3 linked regions of the Nothobranchius furzeri genome follow. The protein of the gene in region 2 interacts with the protein of the main gene of each other region in a pairwise test. Links are inferred from orthologs where the notes say so. Each region holds a gene or a part of one and is shown on either strand. Other genes may lie near its edges. The genes, in order: srsf6a, RNA-binding protein with serine-rich domain 1 and srpk2.

Region 1 (4,274 bases), on a different chromosome or scaffold from region 2:
ATGTCTGTACCATCCAGCTTGTCCATAGCCCTCTTCATGTCAGAGTAGGACCTGAACTCAATCACTCCCTCATTGGTGCGCTCCTTGTGAGCGTCTGCGTAAGTCACCTCTCCCGCCTGACGCATGAAGTCCTGGTTAAGTCAAGATAAACGATTAAGTACATTTTAATGCACATATTGTTGCAAAAAATGTCAACACTGATTGTCTGACCCAGGTTGGTCAAAAGTACCTTGAGATCCTGCCAGCTACAGCGACTGGACAAGTTCTCCACAACAAGACGGTACTCAGTACGAACTGGAGGTCCATATTTATCCCGACCAGTGCGGCTCCTGCTGCCGCCGCCGCCACCACCGCCGCCGCCGCCACCGCTGCTATAACCACCACCACCTCCTCCACCACCACCTTTGAAAATAACAAAACACAAAAATTAAGAAAAGCTTAAAAAAAAAAAAACAATCACTGGTCTGGACATAAAATTAAAGACAAAATCTAACTCCACAGGGAATAAGTTAAAACTTCATGAAAGAAGACCTTCAAATCCCAATCTTCCCCAAAAAGCTCGAGATAAGCAATTTTTATTGCATAGGGCTCTAAAAGTATGTACTGATCACTTTATAAAGAGACTTGCGGCTACAGAGTACACCACTGTGTGTTTTTGGCGATACAAAGCCTGTTATTTCATCGTGTAGTACTGTGAAACTTTAGCTGCTTAAAACAAAAAGGACACTGACGCTCTTTAAGACCCCTGAATCCTGTAACAAAGAGAAAAGAGGCATCCACATTCATCAATTAAACTGAAAATGACTGATGTGCTTATCATTTATATTAATACTTTATTTTACCTGACGTCAGTCTGAAATTCCAGTTTTTCACTTACAAAATTTCTTTAGACTGGAAGTTTTTAACTAGAGCCGATCCACTCATGTTTGCTGTCAACATAAAAACCAATGGCAATCCTCACCATCACCCCTGGTCTATTGGCAAAAGGCTGCTGTCATCATGGCTTCCGGTTAGGTCAGCCAAGGATCAAGAGGGGGGCAAAGGTCACACACACATTGTAAGGTGAAAGCCAAGGCCAAACGGGACAGGCAGTCATCTTAGCCAGTCATCTTTAGCCTCAATGGACTCTCAGCCTCAGCCCGCAGCTGGACTCTTTCAAATTAAAACATCAAGGACTTTTGTTAATGTTTAAAATATATATAATGAATATATGCCAAAGTTAGCAATACACAAATCACAGAAAATGTTAGTTTAGCCCTAACCATCCTAACACTAGCTATGTATGCCACGATCAAAATGTATTTAGTATTTTACGCAACTTTGTAAACACATTTTGATTATAAATAAATTTACGCTTAATGTTTTCTCTACTACACTTCTTAACTGATAAATCCTCTGACTTGCAGTTATTTGCTCATTCAGATGATGGTAGAGGCAATCAATCCAAAATGGCCTGAAACCAGGAAGAGCAAAAACCTGCAGGTCAGCAACCTACAGTCAGATCTTACAGCAGCTCTCGAGTTCCTGGGTGAGATGGGACCAAATCTCGTTAAAAAGGAGTGAAAATATAGTTTTCATGTACTTGACTGCAGATGAGATAGGGTACCAAAAAATTTTCAATTTAGACATTTAACTTTAGCTAAAATGTGTTACTTTGTGATGTTGCATATGTTAAACTTAACTCGAATTGTGACGTCAATCCTCATAAAAAAACACAGTTCTGCGTAAAAACTTAGAAATCTGTAAAGGCAGAGTTTTTTGTACTTAATGAAGAAAACTGGGTACATGATAACGGATTGTACTTACTGCGTCCACCACCCCAGTAACCCCCACCGCCGCTGTAGCTGTCTCGGTCACGGCGCGGCCCCCGGGCATGCTCAACGATCACCCGCTCTCCGCACAGCTCCTTCCCGTTCAGCTCGTACACGGCATCGTCGGCATCTCGGTTGTCCTCAAACTCCACGAACCCATACCTTCAAAATAAAACAACACAGTAAAAAACACAAATAATGAAATATATTTAAAGACCCAATGAAAACGTAAAAAATGTGCAACTGAAAAATGAGGCCTAGAAATACGGCCCCACACTAAGCCCACGTTAGCTTAGCATCATCGAAAATACAAAGACGCCATGTTGGCCATGCGACATTTGCTACACGGGCAGGATTGAAACTTAAAAATAACCTAAACATGATACACCTAGCAAGAAATTACCATCTATACTTTTAGCACATTTGATATGGAAACCAATTTTTCTACTGAATCACAACAAAATTGCATAAATGGTTAAAAGCTCTTGGAGCAACATTGGCTACTGAAACGTTTTAGCAAGCTAAACCTCACACTCGATATTTCACTTAAAACTCACCCATTTTTCAAATCAATTTCCATTAATTTACCATAACCGCTGAAAAATCGCTGGATATCTTTCTCACGGACATGGTAACTCAACCGTCCAATATAAACTCGAGGCATTTTGTTATATTTTTCCACAAAAAAAAACGTCGTTATTGTACGGTCATCACAAGATGTAGCGTTCTGCTTCTGATGCTAACTTTACAAGCTCACCCCTCAAGAAGGCTTCGGCTCGCGCACTAAGGCACTTAGCCAACCAATCAGCGTCAAGTTAACGGAATGACGTTACCAGTAATGGAACTTCAAAATAAAAGCCCCACTTGACAAGTTTAAATTGTTTTAGAAAGAGAAACGAAAAATGTCGAATCATAAACTTATTTTTCCTAGTCATTTATATTAATTTTCGTGCCTTTTCTGGCCACCATATGAATGCTAAAATTACAGAAAAACTTGGTTGTTTAATTTGAAATTAATTTAATATCAGCTTCAACATGAACAATGTTTGCATTTATATTGTTGGATAATGAATTTTAATGAGTAAATTTCAAATTTTAACCCTTCTAAACCAAAATACAATGACCCCTTGAATTAGACACTGGCACACCTACATAAACTAGCAAGATTATGTTGGGTTGGGTTCCACATAAAACTCTGTATCTACCACATCATGGACACAACTGGGAAAAAGTAATGAAGTAGAATATTTTATTTAGGTAAAAACCAGATTTTAAATTGATTCATCAGACCTTAGCGACCATACTCAAAAGAAAAAAAAGCTGAACTAATATCACATGACAACCATCATAGAACTGCATTTTTGTAATCCAGGAGAGACTGTGGTGGAAACAGATTCAACCCAGTTTATTATTTTTTTTTTAATGATGGGGCACTTTCATTAGATAAAGAAAACTTACTTTTCATGTCAAAAAATATTTTTTCCCAAGTGGCTTTAATTAAATCAGTAAGATAGAAATATTGTCACTGGTTTTATGAAATCAAGACTACAAAAGCACTCAAAAACAGTTTGTATTTCTGTTTTACACCTCACATCAGCCATTTTAACCTTGGCCTCCTCCTTTTGAGCCCCAACGGTTTGATCTCAACACATTTTACTGTAAAACCACAAGCAAGTCTGTGAAACTTTAGCACTAAATGTAATGTTTGTGCTAGACAAGAAAAATCATTTTTAGTTTAGCAACAAAGAGCTGGAGAATTAAGTAGGGGCCATGGATACAATTAAAGCATTTAAGCTTTCTTCATGTGGACTCTTTTAGCTTGACGCAATCTGACTAGCTATACGGAAACATGTTTTTAGTCTTCATGACTGGTATGTGTAAAATGAAAAAACTAAAATACCTGACAACCTGTGGGGTTTTCTTCAAGAGATTAAATCACAGCAAAATAGAAAAAAAAAAAAAAACCTGGGAGGCAGAGGGTTTGTCAGCCACGCAACCAAATGCATTCAATCCAACAGTAAATCTGGAGAACGTCATCTGCTTACAGCATCTGTACCTCTTCAGTTAGACTTAGATCCTCTTTCACTTCCTGCCTGTAAAGGCTGCAACCACTAAACAACCAAACCCTCCCGCAGTTCGATTCAGAGAGTCCTTTTATTTAAATCAGAGGGGGCGACCGATCCCAGCTTTGGAGAGAGGGAGCCCACTTTTCATGGCCTTTAGTTGGCTTTGGCGCGGAGCTGCGCCCGCTTGCCCGTCACAGCCTGGAAGCCAGTCTTGATGCTGGCAACAGAGCAGCGGGAGTGGCACGTCTCACACTGCAGGAAATATAGACGAGTGTCCTTCTGCAGGATGGTCTCTGGAGAGCGGCAGGTGTGACAGGTTACGTATTCCTCTGCAGGAGCGAGAAGACTGGTATCAGTAGCAATACAACAACCAAGGTCCAAATCTAAAGCGTATGTC
Region 2 (4,229 bases):
CCCAATAGAGGCTGACGACTCATCAGGGGATGGAGAAGCGGGTACCCAGAGTAGTTTTGGCTCGTTAAATAACAATAGACAGCTTGACTCTCCCATATTCCAGTTAGAATTGACAAAGCTCCTCAGATGAGAAGCAAATTGTCTTCAAGAAACTAAAGAAGTCCAGTTGCCTTCATCTGAACCCTTTGGGTTACCATGACCTGGATGACTGAGAACCTTCATCAGCATATCTACACACACGTTTTACTTCATGATCTCAAGCACAAGTGAATGGGACATAAATGTAGGTTTTAGGGCTGTGCAGGTATTGAAACCAGATTTTAGGAAAAGTGAAGTTTTTTTAAATGAAATAATGTTTCTGCAAATAAAAATCTACTTTCAGCTCACACTTGATTCAGAAATGAACATGTATAATCAACATACCGTATGTAGCATCCAGTCACATGGCTGCAACAAAACCTCAGGTTAAATATTTTTTAATCATCCATTTAAATAGATAGATGTTTATGTATTTTGCAGACGCTTTAGTCCAAACTTTGGATTCCAAAGTGACTTACAAGTGATAATCAGCATGTTGCCCTTGAGGCTAACAACAACAGTAACAACAACAAACAATTTCCAGTCAGTTGGTGGCAGTGAGGCAGCATGATGAATCATGGAGAACAAGGAGTGGACAGTAGAGAGGGGATGGGTGCAGGGAGGGTGCTAGTTTAGAAGATGTTCTCTGAAGAGCAGGGTCTTCAGGAGTTTCTTGAAAATAGATGGACCATTAATGCCTCAGTTAAACATGGTTATTTGAAAGGTACAAATAATCAACTCCAGTAATCAGGAGACCAAATAATTAATCTTTTATAAAACAAGCATGAGGCTGTTTCACGCATGTGGATATGAGCTCACTTAATAAATCCTGGTTAAACCATGGTGAAATTACAGGCATGATGCATGATCATTTCACCTTTTTACTCCGGAATCCTTAAAAAAGAAATCCAAACGGTGAACGTTTCAAAACACAAACCAAGCCCCAAAACTTCCATTCTCAATGAAAACAGATTAATATGAATTTATTGATGCAGTCCGTCAATGGCTGTGATCTGTGTCTTCTTAAAGACAGCTGTTAACACTGTCCTAACGCGTAATGCGCTACAGCAACGCAACAGCTCAAACCGCATCTACATGTCAACATTGGACACATATCTACAGGAAAACAGATGCTAGCTGAGCTAGCTGTCAACAACATCTGTCATTAATGTACCTCTCTCTCTCTGTCAACAACAGCGAAGCCCCACCACCGTTTCAAACTTGACAAACTCATTTCATATCCAAAAGCGCGTCCGTCTGTGTTTCTACAGAGATGTCGGAAATGCAAGCTGATATTTCACCGTCAACGTCGTAAAATAAACAAATGAGTTGTAAGTGGCGCTCAAGCAGGAACGCAACTTCCGCTGGCGTCATCAACCGTCGACAAGCGAACAGGCCGCAAGTGGTGGAAGCAGAGCTACATCGTCCATAAAAAATGTAGGTTTGAGCTCTTTCCTGGCTTAAAACTGTCCGTTTTTAGTTGTGATGCTTAGTTAATCAACTCTGAAAACCCAGGCGTGTTTTACCGTCGTGTGCTTGTTGCGTGAAGAGCTGAGTGATCGGTTAACGGCATGGTCGGAGCTCTCCTTGTTTAGAGGCAGCGGGCTGAATGAAACTCGTTGGCGGCGGATTTCTGCCTGAGTGCTGCTTTTTCCTATAATAACATAACAAATGTTTACGATTTCCAGCAGACATTTGGTGCTCCCTAAACTATGTGTGATGTGGATTGTTTTTATTTATTTCAGTTATAAATCATGTATATCGTGTTTAGTCTCTTTCAGCTAGCTTACGGCTTGAATTTTTGGTGCCAGATAAGTTGTGTAATATTAGGAGAAAAACGTTATTAGTTTTTTTTATCAGTTGCTTTTACATTAAGGGATTTATTTTAAAATTGAGACATCAGTGTAGTTTTGATAAATGTTCAAGAAAATAAAATTATAAAAATCTTTGTTGCACAAAAGGAAATAAACCTACTGGGGTTTAATTATTCTAAACAAAGAGACAGAAGTTTATTGACTAGTCTGTTGTTTTAACAGCTGGAATAACAACTTAGCGTTCTGTGGTAATTCCACAGTAATGGTAGTGCATCACACTAAAGAAATATTCCTTAGCATTAAAGATTAAACACAACAGTTAAAATGTTGCTTTGTGTTTCATTTTAACTGACAGAAAACACAAAATACACTTTTTGGGTTTCATTTTCAGCTTGTTGAGATTACAGATTAGACCCAGATTTGAATTCTGCATGAATTTGAACATTCCCACAATTTGTAGCTCTTAGATTTGTTAAATCCATTTGTGTAAAACAACTAAACTAACAGATGTTTACATCACTTTAGGGCACCATCTCCTACGAAAAGGAAGGAGGAAGAAAAATCTAAAGATAGGGGCAAAGAGAAGACTGCCACCAAGGAAGGAGACAAAGAGAGAGGACGGGACAAAGTAAGGAAACGTCGTAGTGCCTCTTCTGGAAGCAGCAGCAGCAGCAGGTCTGAGTTCCTTCTCATTTGTTATATCACTAGAGAAATCTGTGCTAAAAATTCCTAACAAACCATTTCATTTGTTCTGATTGTGACCGGATCCAGATCTAGCTCATCATCCAGCAGCAGCTCTGGTTCTAGCTCAGGTTCCTCGAGTGGATCCAGCTCTTCTGGCACCAGTCGATCTGGATCGTCCAGCTCTCGATCGTCATCCTCCTCCAGCTCCTCTGGCTCGCCGAGCCCCAGCCGCAGGCGCCATGACAACCGCCGGCGCTCCCGATCACCGTAAGTCTTTGTTCGTGTCTCAGTGTTTACGATGACTTTTGGTTTCTAGTTATTTATTTACTGCTTTCTGATTTTTCAGGTCTAAAACACAGAAGAGAGGAGAGGACAAAGAGCGAAGGAAACGAAGCCCGATTGTCAAACCCACTAAGGTTCACTTAGGAAGGCTGACCAGAAACGTTACCAAGGTTAGCTTAAATGAAGAACATCTGCTTTCTCTTTCTCATCATGTCTGCTTTTATTTGAGACTATGATGCAATCTCAAGGTTATGTAAGTGCACAAGAACAGCCACGCACATCCTTAATGTGTAGTAATTAAAGATAAAATCTGAGAAGATTTTCTTGTGTGCATCGGGTGTGTTAGTCATCAGCAATGCTCTGCTCAAAACAAAAAGGAGAAAATAAAGAGTTTGTTTTATTTGTTTGGCATCAAGATAATTTTGTGTCAAAGTTGAGAGAATATCTGACCTTTCTATTTCTGTTGTACCAGGATCACATCCAGGAGATCTTTTCCACTTATGGAAAAATCAAAATGATTGACATGCAGATGGATAGGATGCACCCACACCTGAGCAAGGGCCATGCTTATGTGGAGTTTGAGACCCCTGAGGAGGCACAGAAGGCCCTTAAACACATGGACGGAGGTTGGTGTGCATGTTCAATTTAACAGCCTCTGGGTCTCAGGAACACTGGGGGTCTTTTCTGTGTGTTGATTATTTTTTATGACTATTATAAAAACAGGTCAGATTGACGGACAGGAAATCACAGCCGCTGCTGTTCTGCCTCAACGGATCCGTCTACCACCTCGCAGACTGTCTCCTCCTCGCAGAATGCCCCCACCACCTCCTATGTGGCGGCGCAGCCCACCACGCATGAGGAGGAGGTATCGCCTACAGACAGTTTCAGCCATAAACACACACACGTGTACAGGTAATAATGCCGTTTTTGTTGTTTCAGGTCTCGTTCTCCAAGGAGACGATCCCCGGCACGTCGCCGTTCCCGCTCCAGGTCTCCTGGTCGCCGGCGCCATCGCTCTCGCTCCAGCTCCAACTCCTCCAGATAAACTCATTCAGATGTCATGTGGTTTTCTACGCTGTGATGCTGATCAGCTACAACCCTCGTTTTCTCAGACTCCTTTGACTCAGTAGAAATGCCATCATCTACGCTGTATGTGTGGTCATAGCAAGAGTGCTTCTGTTCCATTTGATTTTTTCTTAAATTTTGTGCTAAGTTGATTCAGAAAAGTTAGCTTAGTTTTATGTTGCCTCTACCGGGATCTACAAACATTTTGTTTCCTTTTACCTTGTATTACGTCCTTTTAACTTTTAAAAAATAAAGATGCAGAAACAGAATTTCTGAATGTTCAAGTTAAACTTCTTGTCTCAGCAG
Region 3 (3,555 bases), on a different chromosome or scaffold from region 2:
TGGACGGCATCGAAGCTCGCAAGTAAACTTTTCCGCTGCCGTTCCGCACCGCTGACGCTTCCAGCATGAAATAGTGGTGGCTCTGGCCCTAAGGTACCCTAATGGAGTGTCAGGATTAGTATCTTCAACAAAAACCTGCTGCATCTAGTCCTGTACATGTCTGTCCTCAGATGGAGGATCTACAGGTGGTGTGGGTTTTATGTCTCTATTATTATATTGTTAAATGTATTAGTTGCAGTGTCTTTAACACATGCAGCATGATGAAAGATGGTGCACACGTTCATAAAACAAATGAAGGGAGACAGGTGAAGGTTAGGAGACTGGGACTGTTTAAATGTGGTCCTAATCTACTTTGGTCTTGGCTGACTCAGACTAGTTATGACCTCATCCGTGCTGTAGGAAGTAAATTGTTTCTCAGAACTGAGGCCCTTCTGGAAACCAACAAGTAAGATGGTGTTAAGATATAAATTTGACACAGGAACACTTTTCTTCACCTTTCATGCTCCAGCTTTAAACCCATTTTAGCCTGAACCTGTTAAATACCTGAGCGACTTTTGAAGGTTGAGTTTGTGTTTTATAAATGTAGCAATGCGAGGAGTTTAAGTGGTTACCCTGAAGCTGAAGCAGACTACCGGCTGATGTAAGTAACTGACAGCTTGTGGCGAGGTTCACCAAGAGGACAGGGTTCATGTAGAGTTTCTACAGACTTTCACTAAAAGACCTGATTCTTTCTTTTCTTCTGAACAGGAAGTTGGAGATAAGAGAGGAAAAGCAAGAGGAATTGGTTTCAAGTACCAGAGGGAAACATTAAAAGCTCATCTGTGCATTTATTTTCTGCACTAAACGCTTTACTAGTAAAGAGGGAAAGATAAGGAGTCATTAGGTGTTTGAAAGCATTAAATCATATTCAATTTAGGAATATGAGGTGGCTTCCTGCCATATTACAGTTGTCCCCACTTTGCAAACAAATCTAAATTATTTGATCTTAAACCCTCCCACTGTCCTAATGGGTGTGACCCCGCGAGAAAAGTGTACCACTGAGCAGGGTTGATGGTTCATCCCTTGGGTCCATGTGGCAGGGGTGAGGAGTGATGACCGCCTCACCCCTGCCACGTGGACCTCAAGGCATAAACCATCAACTCTGCTCAATGGTCAGCTTTCCTCGTGGGGTCACCCATAAAGACAGTGGGAGGGTTAGATAAGACTTTATTACTTTAAGGGTTTGTATTATTCTCCACAAACTTCACATTTTCAAGTGTTATCAATCAGACATTGCTATAACGGTTTTAATCTAAATACAGCTTTAAGACTACCTCTGAGGCGTTCAGCTGAATTAGAACACCAGAACAGACACATCATGCCTCTTTTGATTGAAATGAAACATTTAAGCATAAAAATTGTGTTTTTGCCTGTTGTGGTTCCTGTATTCAGCGTGACCTCCACTCCTCTGACTGTGTGTGTGTGTGTTGCTACCTGCTGATCCAGACGGCGGTGGGGCTCCAGCTTTCTGCCACTCCGTTGCCTCCATGGCCATCCGCCTCACAAACACGTCATCAACACACATCAGGATGTTCTCTGGCTTGATGTCTGTGTGAATGATTTTACATTTGGCGTGGAGGTAGTCCAGCCCCTGCAGGACCTGATGACAACACACATACATTTATCTATTTGGGTCAAAATTTGAGCTGGGCAATAAATCGAAAATGTATCATTATCAAAATTTCTGACTCTTAGAGATAATTTTTCCCATGTCGATAAAATTGATAATAAAAAAAATGAAAAGATGTGCGTAGGTTGGCAACGTCCATGTCCCTTTAAGAAGCTGCACCACCTTGAGTCATGTAAAAATGTGACAGCCCCACCTAGTGGAAAACTTTTGTTTCTACGCGTACCTTTAGTTATCGTCCGTTTATCGTCATCGAGGTGAAATCCTCGATATATCGTGATACTGATTTTAGGCCATGTCGCCCAGCCCTAGTCAAAATGAATACATCTTTCTGTTTGTGAGTTTCAGATTAACAAAAACAAAAATACCAATGTTTAAGGTCAACTGTTTTGGCTTTGGGACTGAGACAGAAACAAGATCATTCATTGTTCTGTTCTTCTCCAGCTCAGGTTGTGAGAGGCCAACAGTCGCTGAAAATACTCAGCGTCATCACATGCTGACCAGGTGGCTGATGGGTAAAAATCTCTGAGGCTCGTGTCTGAGAAAAGCAGCCATGCTTGAGTCTGAAGCAAACAAGTATCTGCTCTTCTTTCATTGGCCTGAGAATTATTAAATGGTCCACTGTACAAATAGAGGGACTCGTAAATTTTGGTTTTACAATCATGATTTGTCACTGCTCGACCAGAATATGGTTTTCACTCAGAATAAATAAACCATGATGTGTGTGTGTGTGTGTGTGTGTGTGTGTGTGTGTCAGTCACCTGTTTGATAATGCTCTTGACACACGGCAGCGGCAGACCTTGGTAGTTGGATTTAATGATCCATTTGAGCAGGTGATGACCCAGCACCTCGAACACCATACACACATCTGGGATGAGGAGTCAAGGACTCACATTATCATACGTCTCTGACACACAGAAACACACACAACCTCACCGATGAGCACATTTCTGATCAGGATACGTATGCCGTTGACCCCAGAGATCTTGAAGTCGTCAATCAGCTGAACCACCATGTCCTTGTTGGGATCACCGGGGTCGCTTTCTCTCACCTGGGGGGTGAAATCGTAGAGAAGATGAGGTGAGACAGGCTGGAGGAAGAAAAGATAAGCCACAAAGGAGTGGTGGTGCTGCGGGAGTGTGGGAAGACAAAAGAAAGGCTGCAGGAAGGATTCAGAGTGGCAGAAAAATGCAGGGAGTGTGATGAAAAGACCTGTTATAAGAACAAGATAGAAAAGGACAAAATCAACCAATCAGATTCTCACACATCGCAGCAGTTTGATCTCATCCAAGGCCGTTTCTGTGTAGTGCTGGGCGCTCTTCACCACCTTCATCGCCACAAAGTTCTTCACTCTGCAGTAAAAACACACGGCATTCATGTGACAGAATATATGATTGACCACATTAACCTGCGTCTGAGCTTGGCTGTCTTTCCCACAGACACTAGAGCAACAGTTGGATTTTTATCACACCACAAAAACTATTCTGACAGACCTCTTTCACACATTCATCCTTCTACTGCGGACTGACAGGACAGGAGATATCTGAGTAGCCAAAATGTCACAGTTAAAAAACGTTATAGTGTCTTGCTGTTTGTGTTTCAAACAAAAATGTAATGTTTGTGTCTTTGTTTCACTTATTTCTGCCAGAACTGGAACTAAGATTAATGAGTGTGGGAAATATGACTGTTGAATGAACTCAGAGCTGAACTGTCAGTCTAAAACGATGACGTTTCTTGTGTGGAAATGTTTTCATTCAACTTTACAAAAAACTGGAGAGATCATTGTTTACTGAAGGTCAGGCGCCAAACCCAGCAAGTATGTGAAGTTTATGATGACCCTAACCCCTTTAACAAGTCATCTGTAGATAATCCAAAGGGTTCTAATGAAG

Evidence for each region.
Region 1: the proteins of RNA-binding protein with serine-rich domain 1 (region 2) and srsf6a interact in binary tests that used the Homo sapiens proteins (3 or more experiments, as listed by UniProt). The two-hybrid records come from large-scale screens. The link is inferred for Nothobranchius furzeri from reciprocal best matches to the Homo sapiens genes RNPS1 and SRSF6.
Region 3: the proteins of RNA-binding protein with serine-rich domain 1 (region 2) and srpk2 interact in binary tests that used the Homo sapiens proteins (3 or more experiments, as listed by UniProt). The link is inferred for Nothobranchius furzeri from reciprocal best matches to the Homo sapiens genes RNPS1 and SRPK2.

Annotation. Positions count from the first base shown.
Region 1 is NC_091755.1:32,899,145-32,903,418, reverse strand, and holds the start of srsf6a (serine and arginine rich splicing factor 6a), read right to left. Parts: upstream 2,814-4,274; 5' UTR 2,476-2,813; coding exon 2,369-2,475; intron 1,974-2,368; coding exon 1,807-1,973; intron 403-1,806; coding exon 230-402; intron 132-229; coding exon 1-131. Other genes in the region: eif2s2 (eukaryotic translation initiation factor 2 subunit 2), read right to left, coding at 4,031-4,206. UniProt on the Homo sapiens protein: Plays a role in constitutive splicing and modulates the selection of alternative splice sites. Plays a role in the alternative splicing of MAPT/Tau exon 10. Binds to alternative exons of TNC pre-mRNA and promotes the expression of alternatively spliced TNC.
Region 2 is NC_091752.1:58,150,451-58,154,679, forward strand, and holds RNA-binding protein with serine-rich domain 1, read left to right. Parts: upstream 1-1,391; 5' UTR 1,392-1,513; coding exon 1,514-1,515; intron 1,516-2,417; coding exon 2,418-2,567; intron 2,568-2,663; coding exon 2,664-2,843; intron 2,844-2,922; coding exon 2,923-3,028; intron 3,029-3,330; coding exon 3,331-3,484; intron 3,485-3,581; coding exon 3,582-3,723; intron 3,724-3,797; coding exon 3,798-3,903; 3' UTR 3,904-4,192; downstream 4,193-4,229. UniProt on the Homo sapiens protein: Part of pre- and post-splicing multiprotein mRNP complexes. Auxiliary component of the splicing-dependent multiprotein exon junction complex (EJC) deposited at splice junction on mRNAs.
Region 3 is NC_091744.1:58,288,749-58,292,303, forward strand, and holds part of srpk2 (SRSF protein kinase 2), read right to left. Parts: intron 3,019-3,555; coding exon 2,931-3,018; intron 2,718-2,930; coding exon 2,630-2,717; intron 2,535-2,629; coding exon 2,428-2,534; intron 1,640-2,427; coding exon 1,474-1,639; intron 1-1,473. UniProt on the Homo sapiens protein: Serine/arginine-rich protein-specific kinase which specifically phosphorylates its substrates at serine residues located in regions rich in arginine/serine dipeptides, known as RS domains and is involved in the phosphorylation of SR splicing factors and the regulation of splicing.